Mus musculus: one gene and its partner. The protein of the gene in region 1 binds, or shares a complex with, the protein of each later gene. Links are inferred from orthologs where the notes say so. Each region holds a gene or a part of one and is shown on either strand. Other genes may lie near its edges. The genes, in order: Gtf2e2 and Polr2b.

The links.
Region 2: Gtf2e2 (region 1) and Polr2b share a complex: the UniProt entries of both Homo sapiens proteins name them as parts of the TBP-based Pol II pre-initiation complex. The link is inferred for Mus musculus from reciprocal best matches to the Homo sapiens genes GTF2E2 and POLR2B.

Annotation. Positions count from the first base shown.
Region 1 is NC_000074.6:33,728,578-33,737,859, forward strand, and holds the start of Gtf2e2 (general transcription factor IIE subunit 2), read left to right. Parts: upstream 1-3,489; 5' UTR 3,490-3,552; exon of another isoform or gene 3,553-4,097; intron 4,098-5,004; exon of another isoform or gene 5,005-5,129; intron 5,130-5,148; exon of another isoform or gene 5,149-5,495; intron 5,496-5,609; exon of another isoform or gene 5,610-6,973; coding exon of another isoform or gene 6,974-6,978; intron 6,979-7,156; coding exon of another isoform or gene 7,157-7,160; coding exon 7,161-7,329; intron 7,330-9,282. UniProt on the Homo sapiens protein: Recruits TFIIH to the initiation complex and stimulates the RNA polymerase II C-terminal domain kinase and DNA-dependent ATPase activities of TFIIH. Both TFIIH and TFIIE are required for promoter clearance by RNA polymerase.
Region 2 is NC_000071.6:77,331,548-77,340,099, reverse strand, and holds part of Polr2b (DNA-directed RNA polymerase II subunit RPB2), read right to left. Parts: intron 8,151-8,552; coding exon 8,011-8,150; intron 7,914-8,010; coding exon 7,802-7,913; intron 5,684-7,801; coding exon 5,529-5,683; intron 4,467-5,528; coding exon 4,268-4,466; intron 3,674-4,267; coding exon 3,505-3,673; intron 780-3,504; coding exon 683-779; intron 1-682. UniProt on the Homo sapiens protein: Catalytic core component of RNA polymerase II (Pol II), a DNA-dependent RNA polymerase which synthesizes mRNA precursors and many functional non-coding RNAs using the four ribonucleoside triphosphates as substrates.

The DNA of each region.
Region 1 (9,282 bases):
CGAGGTTTATAAAGCTTTGTGGGTCTGCAGGTAGGAACATCCAGGACAGGCAGAGGTCATTGGTTGAGGGCTTAGGGTACTTAAATGCTTCATTAGCAGGGGAAACATTTCAGGAATCTCAGGTGCTAGCTGACAGGTTTTACTAGGAGGATGGAAATTGATCCTATAATCTAATCGAGGGTATGTGACTTTCCTCAGGTAGAGGTGTATGTGTGGGGGTCTTGAATTCCCCAGGCAAGGTCAGAGAAGGGAAGCCCTGCTAATGAAGGGAGTCTCCCACATGGCACCAAACCCAGAGGTCATGGTGGACTTCGGCCTTAATTAACAGTTTCCCCACAGTATTGGACCTTCTTGTGTCCAAAGCAGACACCCCCAAAATGGCAGTGCTGCTGCCAGTGTCATCAATGACAGTCTGAGTTCAGCTCAGACTGAATTCTGACAGGGTAAACAGGAGGATTGATAGTGGATAAACAAAAGCCTAAATTAATATTTCTCAGAAAACTGTGAAGTGGGTCTCTGTTTTTCAGGAAGAGTGTTTCATCGCTTCTGCCTCTATGGCCCATCTCTGGCAATGGAGCATCTCGTTCCCTGTCAAAACATACCTGTGACACTCGTCAGAGTCCCCACACTAGCTCCCAGGCTTTTCTGGACTAGCCCTCTCTCCTCCTGCTAACCTTATTTCCAGGCTGTTCCCACTTCATGCTTCCTCCTGCTGCAACTCGTCCCTTTAAACCTAGCAAGGTTGCCAAGATTGGTGGTGTTGTAACCCCTGGATTACTGATACCAGAGAGACTTCAGTGTTGTACAGTTTGCCTCTGCCTCCCCCTCCCCTAGCATTAGAATGGCACCACCCATAAAACCCCCCCCTTAATGAGGATGTTCTGAGGAGACATCCTCTCCGCCTCTGTGTCTCCAAAAACCAAACACTCCTGCTGATAAGCAGCAACACTCCAGGTGCCTGTCCTTGAGACCTTAGAGAAATAACAAGCTCAAGGGAGACCATGGGAAAAAAGTAAACAGAGGTCAGGTCACAGTTACGAATGGCCATAAAATTAGTCCTTGAACAGACACCCATTAACACCCCCCCAATTCAGTACTATTCTACCCTCTACTCCCCTTTTCCATGAATATTCACACTATTCTAACTATATTGTATATAAATCCAATGTTTTCTGTCTGGACTCAGGGTCGCTTGCCAACATTCACGCAGTGAGTGCTGGGTTGACTATCTGAGTTCAAACTTGAAACAATAAAAGACTCTTTAGTGAGTTGCAGCAGACTTTGACATTCTTGGGCTCATCTGGGTTTCCTGTGGACTCAGAGCACAACAATGGCAAATGCTCTTAATCCCAGCAGAGCGTGGAGGCAGGGGGATCTTTTCCTCCAATCCCATTGCCTCTACATCAGCTTCTGCCTTCAGGTTCCTGCCCTGACTTCCCTCAGTGATGGCGTTAAGGTTTGTATAAGCTTGGCCCAGGGAGTATCATTATTAGAAGGTGTGGCTTGTTGGAGTAGGTATGGCCTTGTTGGAGTAGGTGTGTCACTGTGGTGTGTGGGCTTTAAGTCTCTCATCCTAGCTGCCTGGAAGTGAGTGTTCTGCTAGAAGCCTTCAGATGAAGATGTAGAACTCTTAGCTCCTTCTGTACCATGCCTGTCTGGATGCTGCCATGTTCCTGCTTTGATGATAATGGACTGAACCTCTGAACCTGTAAGCCAGCCCCAATGAAATGCTGTCCTTATAAAAGTTGCCTTGGTCATGGTGTCTGTTCACAGCAGTAAAGCCTTACTAAGACAGATGGACTGTTACCTGGACGTGTAAGCTGAAATAAACCCTTTCCTCTCCAAGGGTTTCATTACGTTGTTTCATCCCGGTAACCCTAAGACTGTATGCATGTTTGGCACTGGATGTATACAAGAGGGGTGTGGTGAAGAAACTGCCAACATGACCACCCCATGTTATGGCTAAGGTTTTTATTGGAGACATGAGAGTGAGAACAGCCACAGGGATCTGGAGAGTCCAGGGCAGAGAGAGAAAGTAGTAGATTGACCATGTGTAGCAGACTGGGCTTTGCCAGGACTGTCTACAAGAAACGGGAAAATGGCCACTGATAGAAAATAGGGGAAGCTTATTGAGAAAAGCAGCAGCAGGAGCGGAGAAGAGTGAACAAGAAGAATGAGTAATCGGTGGGCGGGTGGGAAGGGCCAGGGGACTGGTGAGCAGGCTTTGAAATGTATAAGTGCTTGTAGGGACTGAGGGAGTCTGGAGGCTGCCGGGCTTGCACCTTGTGCTGACATGTTAATTGGAGAGCCATAAGTCACTTTTGCTGGAGGAAAGGGAAATGAGTCATTTTCCTAGACAGAAACTAGAGCTTCACAAGTTCCGGAGGAATGCCGCCGTCTTTTGTCAGTTGTTAGAACTCCTCGTATAGTCCAGATTAAGTTAACTAGTGGATCTTCGGACTGTCATTTGAAGTTTGAAGAATTGGACTCTCCTTTGGACCTGACAAAAATTTAGTTATACAAAGTTAGTTTCTGCATCATCACTAGTATCCTATGTTGGGGGGGGGGCGGGACATACAAAACTAAGACCCAAAGTAATTAGTACTAATAAACTACAGCTATGGGATATTTAAATACTGGATTAGGCTGTACAAACAAGGATAGTTGTAGGGTGCAGGATGGGCCAATTATTATTATTTGTTGTTGTTGCCAAATATCGCACCCACATCTTATATTGTCCCCCAAAAAATCAAAGACAGGTCACAGGTATGAAAAGAGCCGGTGTTCGAAGCGCAGAAGCTGAGCTGTAAGTTTTGAGGTTGAAGTCCAGAAGTTGAATTCTATGTTGAGTTTGCCTTTGCTAGACTGTCCCTCCCACCCCCAAGCCCCCCGCCACTTGTTAAAGGTGGTTCTGGTGAGTGGTATTTGAAATAAAATAAAAAAGCTTGGCATGGAGCAGCACTTGGTAGGCCGAGGCAGAACGATCTCTGCAACTTTAATTCAAGTTCCAGGCCAATCAGGGCAACACAGGAAGACCTTGTCTCAAATAACCAAAACCACCCACCCTCCAAAAAATATGACAGATTTATTGGTAATGTTGCCGGTTGGGTTAGACTCCAGAGCCGGCTGAAGGAGCTGCTCCGACTTTGTGCCAAGAAAAGCGGCTTTCCGTTCTTCCCTAGAGCAGAGCTGGTAGAGTAAACGTGGCTACCGGCAGCCTTTGAGCGCGCTCCGGTCGTCATGGAAACTCGGGGCGGAGCACGCCGTGACGCAGGCGCCTTTTCGGAGCGGCGTCGCGGTGGTTGCTGGGAGCGAGCGTCCTAGCCGCCGCACCAGGAAGTGGAGGGCGGGGCCGGGGCTGTGTCGCCAACGCCACCACCACGGCCGCCTCGGGTTCGACCCCCTTGGCAGGTCCGTGTTGGGCGTGCGCGCCGCGACGGCGGCGGGGGGCGGGAAGCGGGCCCGCGGTGGGCGGGTGTGTGCGTGCGTGAGTGCGTGCGTGCGTGCGGCCGAGGCGGAGGCTGGGAGGCGGCGCGGGCTGCGGGCGCTGAGGTAGGGACTGCGGCGGCGGGCGAAGGGGGACGAGTCCCGCGTGGGACTCGGCTGCCCCGAAGCGGGACGCGTCTTCCGAGGGGACGCGCGCGTGGACGCCACGCCGCCGAGCCGTTCTCCAAAGCCGAGCCCCCGAGAGGAGGGGCTCGCCCCAGCCAGCATTGTCTTTTAGGCCGGACGTCCATACAGCAAACTTTCGGGTTGGAAAGCGGGAAGGATTCCGGGTGGGCGAGCGGATGGTGCCGACCGCTTCTTGGCCACAACCACAGCAGCCGAGCTCATCCCTGTGTGGAGTTGGGGGGACCACCATGGCGTCCCCTCCCGACTGGCTTTTCTAATGCTGCTTTAAACTTTTTGAGGTTGTGAGTTTTCGGAGGAGTCGAGAGGTATTTTCCCGATCGAACTCTGCGCTCCGTTTTCCTGATGTGCTCCGGTACTCGGGGGCGAGCCGTGAAGCGAGAGACAGAGTAGACAGACAGGCTGCTGGAAGATTGCAGATTCTGGGGTAGGAAAGAACTGGACAGTGGAGCCTGAAGATTTGAAATGTTAGTTTTCCGGTAGCTATCCACCGTGAAACGTACCAGCTCTCGGTCGTAACATCCTGTTCGGGGCTTTTGATTGACCAGATTAATGTAAAGTAGACGTGGATATAGTTTCTTTACCACCCAGGTTAGCCCTAAGATGTGCACTGCAGTACAGATGTTGGTTGCAAAAGGAGGAAAAGTTAGTTGGAACTCCGGAGAGTAAACCGCTTGCTCTGGGTGCCTTTGTTGGTATCATCATATAGAGAGGTCTCTCTTATTTCAGAAAGCTTTGCTAGGGTTCCAGGGCTGGGACACATGACTTCTTACTTAGTTGTGCCACTTCTATTCAGGTTTTATGTGTTAAAATTAGCCATAGCACTAATGCTTAGTCTTTCAGACTTGTGGGCATTATGTAGTTAGGTTTTTCTAAGTTGTACAGGTTTGATCTGTCCTAAAGTCTTTATTTGACGTCCAGATTAGTCATCTGACCTTATGAAGTAAAATGTTCCTGTTTTAGGAGTTGCAAACTGCCTGTTTCCTCAGTCTTCTCACGTTGTGAATTTTTTCTTATTTTCATGCTTTCCCTACTCATACCTCTCTCACTTGCATATTAAGTTAATGTTAATTTCTTACCTAATACAACCAAAATAACAATTACTCTTGAAAAAAAATCTTTCATAAATACTTCCTCACTTTTAGAGTTGAGCCAAGTATGTACAACACTGATAGTGCCCCATTCCCCAGACCTAGGAGGAAACTACATTTAGAGCAGTTCTGTAGATTATTTGCTCAAATGTTAGGAATTGAAACTGGGAGGAGCAGATGTTTTACTCTTAGACCAGGGACTCTTCGACTCTTCTTACATAAAGTTCACAGTGAGTTTTCCATATGAGTGCTTTTTTTTTTTTTTAAATCCCTTTGGATCAAGATTGAACCTGTCACACTGCCACTTGCCTCCAGCAAGCTATATCTCCAGTCTCCATCTCCCTGTTATTTAATCAAGGAACTCAGTGTGTGTGGAACCAGTTAGGATGCTCCGGCTTTCCTGAAGATGTACGTGGAAGCAATACTTAGTAAAAACTGAACTTGAGGTTAACGCTGTTTTGCTAGGCTAGTGACTTAGTACTTTAATGATGCTAGGCAGCTGCCGTGAGCTCCCAGTCGATATCACAAAGGCACAGTTGATATGCTGTTGTGTACCAGGTTGCTAGGCATTTATGTTCAGTACAAAAGATGGATTGAATGCATTTTTTTTCAACTTAAAATATTTTCAGTGTATGAAAGGGTTATCATTGGAAGTAGCCTCTGTAGAGTGGTCTTTCCCCCCTGACTGAACACTAGTGTGAAATTCATTCACAGGGGCAAGAGTGAGCTTTTCTGAACCGTGCTGCAGAGTGCTAGGAAGAGAAAAGACTTTTTGTAAGATTCATGGTGATTCAACTGGTGGTTCTTGTGTTCTGGTTGTGTTGAGATTGCTTAAAAATGCTTATAAAACTACAGTTTTATAACTGGGGGTGGGGTGGGGGGGAGGAGCGGGAATGATCATTTAGTTTTACCTCCTAAATCAGGAATTTTCTGTACACTTTTACCCCTCCAGTGTCTTTCTATGTAGTCCTGGCTGTCCTAGAACTCTGTATGTAGACCCTTGCCTTGAACTCACAGAAATCTGCTTGCTTCTGCTCCAGGTTAATTGCTGAGATTAAAGGTGTGCAACCACTATGCCCAGCTTCTATAGATGTTTTTAATACCTTAATCCAGCTTTCTTAATTAATAAGAGGGCACTGGTTTTTAAAACACACCATTTAATTTATAGCAGTTCCACTCCTCCCCTTTCCTTCCCTTTTCTTCCCTTTCCCATCCCCTCCCCCTTCTCCCCCTTCCTTCTTCAATGAGCCTAAATATGCTTTCTAACTTCTAGAGCACTGGTACACAGTATATAATGTGAGCTTCAAGTGTGAGTTATGCTTGTAATTAAAATTTGTGTGTGCTGAGGATTTAACCCAGGGCCCCATGAAACAAGGCAAGTGCTCTATCAGCTGAACTATATCCTCAGCTAGAGCCAGCTGGGGAGGATAATTTCTCTGTCTCTGTGTGCGTATGTATATATAATAACGTATATATGTATGTATACATATATGTATGTATGCATGTGTATTTTATAGAAATACTTAAGTCATTTATTGCCATTAAGTTACAAGTCTGAGTCTATACACTGGAAAACACTGAAACTTTTTACCTCAGGAAATTATTTGTCAGTATTTGGCTAACTGAAGGATATATTGTTGTCATTAAAGAGAAAGTCAAGAATTTTGAATATGAAAGTTCTTACAGTTACAAAATTTTGTTCCCTTTGATTTTTATTACACAAATCCCAATATGTGAACATCACTATATATGCATACTCCATATTACTGGAGATAACCACCATTCAGAATTATTAGTTACATATTTTGGACTGCTCTTGAAGGTAGCTGTTTACAACTGATAAGGCAGCAGACTTGGCTTAGGGTTTCTTGGCTGTTCTATAAAGTTAGCATGGTTATTAGAGATAGCATTCTGTGTTTTCCCCTCAGCGAGACTATTTACAATGACCTGTGGTTTGGCAGAAGTGACTGGGCACTGTCCCTTTTAAGAGCTGGTTCTTGTATTGCTAATTCGTCTCACAGTTGATAAGCTGTGCTCCCTGAAGGAGCTGATCTACTTCATTTGTTACATGATGTGCAGATAGAAGCCAGATTCCAGGTTATACCTTGTAGGCAAATCTCATGAATGTCACAGTGTGGCAACAAAGGATGAAAGCCATCTATCCACTGATGATCTCTGGAGACTTCTAAATGTCATTGATGGCTGCAATGGGGAGACCCTAGTTGGCAGCTGGTTCCCCGAAGTGCTCGCTCATGAGGTAGCCCTGGAAGTCCTTGTGCACACTGCTGCAGCCCTGCTCATGCCACTTAATGTGCAGCTGCTGCACAGAACAGTGACACTCTATGTTGTGGGAACTAACTTGCCAAGGGCTGTAGACATGGCATGTGGGTTTGAGTGATCTGAATATATATTAAAGGTTCGTGTTTGTCTTGTAGCATTATGGATCCAAGCCTATTGAGAGATCGAGAGCTGTTCAAAAAACGAGCTCTTTCCACTCCTGTGGTAGAAAAACGTGCTGTGCCTTCTGAGTCACCCTCCTCCTCCTCATCCAAGAAGAAGAAGGCAAAAGTCGAACATGGAGGATCCTCAGGCTCTAAACAAAATTCAGGTGAGGAGAACTGTTTTGGGACGTCTGTTACTATTTTTCGGGAAGCTAGTAATGGCACGTTCAGTTTCTCTTTTGAGATATGGACTCTATGCAGTTCCTGGCTGGCCTGGAACTTCCTATGTAGACAAGATGGTCCCACAGAGTTGGCTGCCCTGCCTCCTAGAGCTTTAATAGACCTGTGCTGTCACACCAAGCAAGCTTAATATTCTTAATGAGTTTCTTGGTTAAATATAAAAGATGAATTTAAATCCATAGTATGTTTTCAGAACCCATACGACAGCTTGCAACTACCTTTAACTCTGGTCTCCATGGGCACACATGCTGGCAAAACATCCATACAATAAAATTAAAGGGCGAAAAAGTGTATATACCACTCTTACTGGGGGAAAAGTTTTAAAAAACAAAAGCAAAAACCTACACTTTACTGAGGGTTGGGTTCTAGAACACGCTATTTACATTTTAAAATTATAGGGCAAATCTTTTTTAGTAAATATAGTGCAACTAATTACTCCCATTTTAGAACATTTCCATTCTCATTCAGTGGTCTGATGTGCTCGTTTGTGGTGATTTCTGATCCTAGCCCCAGATAACCAACCGTCTACCTTCTGTCTGTACATTTGCCTTCTAGACAATTGCTATACATAGACTTGTATACAGGGAGTGCTTTTATACGTGGCTTCTTTTATTTAGTATGTTTTTCATTTTTATCCATGTTATTGGGTGAGTTAGTATTTTATTGCCAAAGAGTATTCCATTGTATTGATATATCACAGTTTGCTTATTTACTGGTTGATGGAGTTTGAATACATAGAATCTTGCTGTGTAGCTTAGGCTGACTTGGAATTCACTAGGTAGGTCAGTATAGTCTCAAATGCAATAATTCTCTTGCCTAGATTCTTAGAAAATTCTTAGAATTTCTGGATAATGTGAATTTATGTTTAACTTTTAAAGAATCTATCAAAATGACTGTTGTGGTTTGGTCTTTTTGTTGCTGAGCTAAAACACTGACTAGAAATACCATGGGGAGAAAAAGATTTGTTTGGCTTACAGCCCATCATGAGGGAAGCTGAGGCAGAAACTGAAGCAAAGACCACTGGGTATAGTGCTGCCTACTGGGCTGCTTCCCCTTGTCAGACTCCTCCTCTTCCTCCTCCTTCAAGATTCACATATGTGAGTGTTTTGTCTGCATGTATGTCTGTATACCACATGCATGCCTGGTGCCTATGGAGGACAAAATAATTAATTTGATTTCCTGGGACTGGAGTTACGGAGTATTGCAAGCTACCATGTGGTTACTGGGATTGAACTCCGGTTCTTTGGGAGAACAGCCTGTGTTCTTAACTACTGAGCCATCTCTTTAACCTTAGTCATGTACAACTCAGGAGCACTAGCCCAGCCAGGGGTGTCACTGTACACAGTGAGCTAGCCCTCTCACATCAGTTAATCATTCAAGATGGTGCCCCACAGATGTGCTGTGCACAGAGCTAGTCTTGATGGAGGCAGCTCTTTGATTAAGGGTCCCTCTTTCCAGATGTGTCAAGTTGACAATCAAAGTTAGCCATCATAGTAAGTAGATTGTTACTTTTCACCAGAGACGAATGAAGGGCTAGCTATTTCTCATCCTCACGAGTACTTAATTCTTTCTTGTCTTTTTGTTTATAGTAGTTCTTGGTGGATGTGAGTAAATATTATTGTGGGAGTATCATTGTGCATTTTTTTTGTTTTGTTTGTTTGTTTTTTGTTTTTCGAGACAGGGTTTCTCTGTATAGCCCTGGCTGTCCTGGAACTCACTCTGTAGACCAGGCTGGCCTTGAACTCAGAAATCCTCCTGCCTCTGCCTCCCGAGTGCTGGAATTAAAGGTGTGTGCCACCACGCTGGGCATCATTGTGCATTTTTATTTGATTTATTTTTTTGAGACAGTCTCTTATTTTGTATTCCAGGCTGATGTGTAG
Region 2 (8,552 bases), on another chromosome or scaffold:
GAGCACGGCCTGCCTTCATCTGCTCAAGTATCCCCACTGAGGCGTTTTTATATGAAGTTATGATGTCCACACTTCAGTCCTGGTGCTGCTTTATAGAATTATATAAGGAGAAAAGTTTCCCCTCTAAATCCCCCGTGTTTGAAAGAACCTTCTTATGCTACTACATATTTAAGATTAATCTATTGTCAGTAAGAAAGGGGAATATAGGAAGCCAAGTCATGGTGCACATTTGTAATCCCAAAACCCAGAAGACTGGGATGAAGGACTGCTGTGAGTTCAAAGCCAACCTGGACTACACTGTAAGTTCAAAGCCAGCCTGGACTACACTGTAAGTTCAAGGCCAGCTTCAACTACATAGTGAAATTGTCTCTAAAAACAAACAAGAAAACAGATAAAACACACCATTATTTTACCAGCAGTTATTTCAGAGTTCTATTTTCTATTTCTTCCTTAGATGTTTCTATATTATCTAAATGCAATTACATATTTGCTTACAACAGAAAAACATTTAAAATATCACATCTGAAAACCCAGAGACACAAGACTCACCGCCAATAGCTGTATGACCACCAGCCAGGTCTGCTTTTGGATTAGGGCAGTCAAGCTTATTCTTTAAAAACTTTATGAAAAAAAATGCATTTCCACTATATCTGTGTTTCAACAAATATTACTATAAGCTGACCTGAAAAAGCCTCGATCCACAGCTGAACGATTCATGATAACAGAGTCTTCTTGATTATAGCCCGTGTAGGATGCAATGGCCACAATTGAGTTGATTCCTACAGTACATTCAAAAACAAACAGTAAAGGACCCTCTGGGAAGCAGGGAAACCTATCCTTTCATTGAAATCCATTTTCTTTCATCCTATTTGTCACAAACACTTGGATGTTTGTATCATGGAAACTGTTGCTGTCTCCTCCTCCCTGAACCTGTGTGTGAGGCAAATGCTCTGCTTGCTTAACCCTGAAACCATCACTCCCAGGGAAGCCATCCTTACTATCAGTACTCCTCCATGTAACATGGTCTATAACTACAGAGTGCTTCCCCTAACCCTAAATAAACAAGCTTTATTGTTCTCACGACTCTAAGGTAAGAACATACATACGCCTCCAGAGTGAATTAGCGACAAACTCAAGCCTCAGACCCTAGCCTCCTAATTTCTAATTTTAAATATGAAACCAACACCACCCTGCTGCTCTCTCCCCATGCCACCACAGTTGTGGCACCATCTTTCAGGCCACAGTTAGATCTTAGTAGCTGCTGCCCTAACTACTGTAATGGATAGGTGGCTAGGTGTGTGCCACAGGTCTACCACCTGACACTCGGGGAGGCAAGGGCAGGAGGACCATGTTAGCTCAGGAATATGAAAACAGCCTGGGCAACATAGGACCATCCCATCTTTAAACAGCACCAGGAAGGAGGAGGAGTGGGGAGAGGGAGGCAATGAAAGGGGAGGTGGGAGAGGGAGGGAACGAGAAAAAAAGAAGGTGAGCCCACACTATGGCATTTGCTGTACAAGTCTGGCCAACTAAGTCTGACCCCAGAACCTATATAAAATGGGAAGAACCAACTCCACAAAACTGTCCTATGATCTATATGTATGGCACAGCATCTGTGCACAGTAATAATAAACAATAAGAGATTGATTCATTGTAAGGAATTATGAAGCCCAAAGTTGTATTCCCAGCACTAACGAAGCGTGTAGGAAACTCAGCCTATGGGATATAGTGACCCAATCTTTTATCAAAGAAAAAAAAAAAGAGGAAAGAGGAGGAAGAAGAAGATTGATAACACATAATATAGTAAACTAAAGCACTAGAAAGTGTTCAAACTGAGGAAGACACTGGAAGACACAGATACCTCACAGTTCCATGAATCAGGATTAATATTGTGGAGATGGGTATCCTACCATGGGAAAGCTACCAACATAATCCCTAGTGCTATTCTGCACAGAGACAGAGAAAGCAATCTTATCATTCATTTGAAAGCACAAGAGACCCAGACAGCAAACGCAGTCCTGAGCATAAAAATACTGCCTAACTTCAAAGTATACTACAGGCCAAAGTAACAAAAACAGCAAAAAATCAGATATAGAGATCAATGGAATAAAACAGAGGACACGTAACTACAGCACCTAATTTTTAATTTTTTTGTTTAAGACAGGGTCCGTTATGTAAATCAGATTGATTTAGTACTCAATATGTAAGCCAGGTTGGCCTCAAACTGCAAGAGATCTGGAAGCCTCTGTCTCCTGTTTGACTAAGGTTCAGCTAACAACCATCTATAACTCCAGGAGAGATTGGATACCTTCTTCTAGCCTCTGTGGGCACTGCATGCTTGTGGTACACATACACATATACATGCACGCAAGACATTCACACACATAAAATAAGCACAAACAATTTTCAAATGATTCAAGGACCTTAACATAAGCCCCTAAGACTCAGAAATTGTGATAAAGAAACTGGAGAGTACACTTCACCATAAACATTGCCATGGTTTTCTGAATAGGACTCCAATCACTCGGGAAATTTGGCCAATAATTCCCTGCAAAGGGAACTGTCAATCAAATGAAGAAACAGCCTACAGAATGGGAGAAAATCTTTGTGGGTCAATGCCCAACAGAGGATTTGAATCTAATCTAAAACAAACAAACAAACAAACATCAAGAAGCTGAACAGAGTTCTTAAAGGAATACGGTGGCTAGTAAACATTTTAAGTGTTCAACATCATCAGCCACCAGCAAAACGGAGATTAGAGCCACTCTGAGATTCCCTCACACTCCAGTCAGAAAGGCTACTCAGAGATCACAGGAGGAAATGCAGACCAGGATGTGAGAAAGAGGAGCCCTATTCACTGTTACTGGGAGTGCACCCTGGTGCAACCACTGTGGAAATTAGTGAGGTTTTTTAAAAAGCTGAAAGTGTAATAATCATATTTTAATACCCATGGAATCCAATTTCTGCTGTTATATACTCATGGATGTGGGGCCATTCACTCAAGAGGAGTAGAACTACCAATGGCCACACCCTTAACAAAACCTGATTCTCCAGCTCTAGGGAGCTGCCAACTCCAAGCCTTCACTTTTAAAACAATATTCAAACAGGTCCGGCTCTTTCCACACCACGAGAACAAGCTTCAGTCACATATGATGCTCTGGCCACACTGCACCGACATGACCTAGTCCCACATCTCATGGGTTCACAAATGAAGGAAGGCCTTTGCTCAAATTCAAATTCAAATACCCCCTTTACCAATATCCTCCTTAAAAGTGGCTCTACATTCCAAGAGGAATCAATCATTTTGACACTGTACTTGAATAGGACTTTATACCCAACATAACCCTTTCCACACATCCACTGTTTTAATTCATTCATGGTTCCACATCTAAAGTCTGGAAAGCAGTCAGTGTTGTGTGCGGTTTTTAATCTTCCCAAGCACTTCTCACTGCAGAGTCTTAAGCAAGGCAAAATCGTAAAAAACAAAGAGCACACCGAACGTACCTGCTGGCAGCTCTCTGAATCGTAGATATTCCATAGACCGTGTAGTCACAAGGGGTTTCTGAGGATAGTAGAGAACATGGGCCAAGGTGTCCATCCGCACATGGAAGTTGGTGATATAAACTCCCATAGCCTGCTTGCCCATAGCAGACTGGTATGTGTTTCTAGGGGACTAGTGGTAGAAACAGAAAGTAAAGACAATGAATATTTAATAACACATCAGAGAAATAATTGGTTAAAAAGTTTCTGGCCTTGTCTTTTTCTCAGACAAGTAATAAGCCCTTATGGCTCTCAACAAGAACAAGAGCAAGCACCGGTGGCGCTGTAAATGGAGCCCCCAGTCTTGCCGTTTGAGCACTTGGTTCCCAGACGATGGCGCTGTTTCTGGAGGTTTAGGGGCTGTAGCCTTGCCAGGAGCACATCCCTGGGGACCAGCTTTGGGTTTCAAAGTCACGCGCCATCCCCACCTTGCTCTTCGCTTCATGCTATTAGATAAGGACTAGGATAACGATAACAGCTTGCTATTCCCCTGCCTCTGCTCCTTCATCATGGACTCTTATCCCTCTGGAAGCAGAGCCCAAAATAAACTTCCATCTGTAAGTTGCCTTGGCCGTGGCATATTATCACAGGAACAGAAAAGTAACTAATAAGCACGTCAAACAGCTGAGTCTGTAGTGCTCACACCCCCTGACAAGTCTTCATACTAATTTCTAATATTGATTACTTCCCCGATCTTTGCAAACCAGAAGACAGAAGTACGACCAACCTGGTTATGATCAGGAAAAGGAATAATAGATGCACAGACTCCAAGAATCATTGATGGGTGAATCTCACAGTGGGTGTAGGTAGAACAATAAGCTACTTCCTTCTCCTGCAAATCATCTGGAGTCATTGCAAGCATCACGGTCTCCTCTTCCAGGGTATCAATATACTCTACTACCCCACTGGCTACCAGATCCTGCCAACTAAAACAAGTCAGTTTCATGAGATACTGTAAGACAAAGCCTACTGCTTTAAAACTATTCCTATTTGTGTTTGTATTAACATGGAAAGAATTCAGAGACATGACTGTTAATGTGAAAAGGCTGCTGGACTATATATACCCTATTAGACTACATCTGCTATTCACTTTGTTTTAAAGACCTACACTTGTGGGCCTGAGAGGTGACTCAGCAGTTAAGAGTACTAACTGCTCTTCCAGAGGTCCTGAGTTCAAATCCCAGCAACTCACAACCATCACTGATAGATCTGATGCCCTCTTCTGGTGTGTCTGATGACAGCTACAGTGTACTCATATTCATAAAATAAATAAATAATTCTTTTTAAAAAATCTATACTTGTGAAATAGGGACAAGAAGTAGGAAAAACACAAAATAAGGCCTGGTAGAATACATATATCCACCTATTATTCATATGTATTTGTAAAGGACATTATGAAAAAAATTATGGCAAAATCAGCAAACATGAATTGAGAGCACTCACTCGTTTACTACACGTTACTTTACAATACACCTATGATATTATTTAGAGTAAATTTTTAAAGCAAGTTCATTTTCTATTAAATTTCTTATTTTTGCTAGGAGTGGTGGCACACGATCTATATTCTCTGTACTCAGGAAGTTGAGGCAAGAAGGTCATAAGTTCAAGGCCAGCCCTGGATTTCACTGCGTGTTCCAGGTCAGCCTGGCCTATACAGCAAGAACAAGAACGTTCCCCTCAAAATATACTAGTCACATTACACGTACTGTGTGCTGCACTACACAGGTTATTTATCATTGCATTTATCACATCAAAAGACTTCACACTTCAATACAAATCCCACAAGTCCACTGTAAACCAATAACAAAAAAACAAGAAAAATAAATATGGCTGCTGATGGTACGCTTCTCCCAGGGCACTGATAAGATCGTACACTGGAGAGTGACAGTGGCTGTCCAATCTTGTGACTACACTGAAAACAACTAACTATATACTTTCCATGGCAGTTTTCTGACTACATGTACTTTGCTTCTCACCCACCATCTTACCTGTAGTTGTTATATTCTCTCTCTTTCAACTGGTCAATGTGTCTCTTCTTCAAAAGCAGCTTCTGCTTTTCCACAATCAGAAGGGGTCTACAAATACGGCCTGCATCTGTATAGATCCGAATCTCCCGCTCTCGAATATCTCTGATCATAGAAACCTAGATATAAAAGACAAAACAATCTCGTTATTTTTTTTTGGTATGATGACAATTCAGCTAAAAATACAAGTAGCTGGGCACTGTAGGAGTCACCTATCACACCATCATTCAGGAAGCTGAAGGACAGGATCAGTTGATCTACAAGTTTAACACCAGCATAGACAAATTAGCAAGACTACATCTCAAAAGGAAGAGTTGGAGAGGTGGCTCAGCACTTAAGATCACTTGCAGAGAATTCAAGTTCAGGCACCCACATGGCGACTGACAACCACCTGTCACTCCAGGTCTAAAGGATCTTGTACCCCCTTCTGGCCTCCACAGACACCAGGCACACACAAGGAGCACATACATACATTAAGGCAAACATTCAGACATGTAAAATGAAAGGACACACACAGCTAAGCGATGGAGAGCTTGCCCTAGCATGTGTGGGCCTCTAGGTTTGCTCTTCAACTGTATACACTTGTCAAAAAAACTCAAAACAAAAAGATAAATCTACCATTGTTAATCTATTATAAAAAGATGTAATCGTAAAACTCATGAGTAGAAAAAAAATCTAACCTCACCTTAATTATTCAGCTGAATAACATCAGAAGAGTACACAAGTCAATGCAAAATGAAGAAAGCATTTTTCAGTACCACAACCACAAGTATATAAAATGTTCTTATTTTAGACTTGTATGTTTACTACTTCTTTCAGTTTGTTCTTGTAGTGCTGGAGAAAGGACCTCGGGCCCGGCTTCTGCTAGGCAGGCGCTGTACCACTGAGCTACAGTCCTACAGTCCCAAGCCTTATTTCAGTACAGGTATTTCATCTTGCTACCTTCCAGGAACCGGCCCTAAGTTCCTCTTTTTCTTAAACAGGATCTCTCTATGTAGCTCTGTCTAGAATCACTTTATGCAGAGCAGGCTGCCCTTAAACACACTGATCCATCCATCCCCTGCCTCCAGAATACTGGGATTGTTTTAAAGACAGCACACCGTGCTGGGATGCTGCTGTCTTGCCCACACTTTCCCATTTCCTCCGAAGCCTGACTTTCTCACCTAGCAGACAAACGGCTTACAGTCCACCTACAGCAGCTACCAGCCAGGTGATTACTGAGTACCTCAAATGTGACCATTCTGAACTGAAATGAGCTACAAGAATAAATTTCATAGATTTAAAAGATACTAATATATTTTAAAATATAAAGCATTACACTAACACTTTTATATTAGTAATATTTGAAGGGTAACATTTTGGATGTATCAGTCAAATAAAATATAGAATTAAAAGTTATTTCATTTGTTTATGTTTTTACTTAAAAAAAAAAAAAAAGATTTATTTATTATTATATGTAAGTACACTGTAGCTGTCTTCCAATGCACCAGAAGAGGGCATCAGATCTCATTACAGATGGTTGTGAGCCACTATGTGATTGCTGGGATTTGAACTCAGGACCTTCGGAAGAGCAGTTGGTGCTCTTAACCACTTAGCCATCTCTCCAGCCCCTATGTTTTACTTTTTTAATGTGACCACTGAAAAATTTTAATTGTATAGTATTTCTACTGCATGGTCTATAAACACATTCATAGAAAATATATAATGTATCTTGGAAAAATATGCAATATAAAATTTATGAATAATTAATAGCACTACAGAAACTGAAGTGCTTATATGTAAAGAAGTCAAAAAAGCAAACTCAAACTCCAGTGAATTATCTAATCTTAAAAGTCAATAACTAAAATAAACAAATTTCCCAAACGTTGGAAAACTGAATTTGGGTCATACCTACCCATGAAATTGCTTTTAAAAAAGTGAAATCAAGGCCAGGGTGGGTGAAGGTAATTACTCCCAAGCCGGATGACCTGGGTTCAATCCCCAGAACCAACTTGACAGAAAGAGAAAGCTGACCCCCACAGCTATCCTCAGACCTCCATATGCACACCATGATACACATCCATATGTGCACGTACACACACACAAAGTACGTAGAGAAATAAAACACCCTTTTAGCTAATTCTAGATCCTTACTACTATATTAGCTATAGCTCAATGGAAGAACATTTGCCTAATATGAGCAAGGCCATGGATTCAGCTGTCAACACTGTGAAAACAAGAAAAAAGGAAATTCTTACTTCGGATACAATGATGTCCATCTGCCGCCGTAACTTCCTTAGCGTGTTCATGAGTTGTTCGGGGTCTTTATGGATTCCAACCCAGCAGCCATTAACAAAAATCTTGGTTGCACTATGAAAAACCAAAAGCATTCTTCACTCAGCAGTTCTGTATCAACTACAACTTGAAAATAAACAACACTTAAAAAAGAAAACTCATCTGTACACACTCAGCAATAGCTGCAGGAGAAATTTCTTCTAAATTTTCCATGCTCCATTCTTCTAAAAATTCCAAAATTGGAGAGGGTTGAGATCCAACTGAAATATAAGCCATCAGGGCTAAATTCTTCACAAGCCCTACAGCATGGCCCTACGGAGTAAGTCACACAATTATTAGCATCAGTTTAACATGCCCATAAAAATTATCTTCTATAAACATTTACATTTGGCTTCAAGGTATACATACAACTTTCTAAGAAAAAGGTTACTAAAAAAATCTTAATTTTAAACCATGATTTGTAGTTAAATAAAAATTCCTTAAGGTAATTGTGACATATAATTGCTAGCAGACTTTTTAAAGGTTCTTATCAATTATCAATCACACATTTCATTATGACATTTTTACATACATTTCTTTATAATCTCTTCTTACAAGTAAAAGGTCTAAATTAAAGTTTTTCATTTTAATTTGGAGGTTGTGTGCACATGAGCACAAGGCCCACAGTAGCCAGAAGAGAACATGGGATCACCTGGAGACTGAGTTACAGGTAGT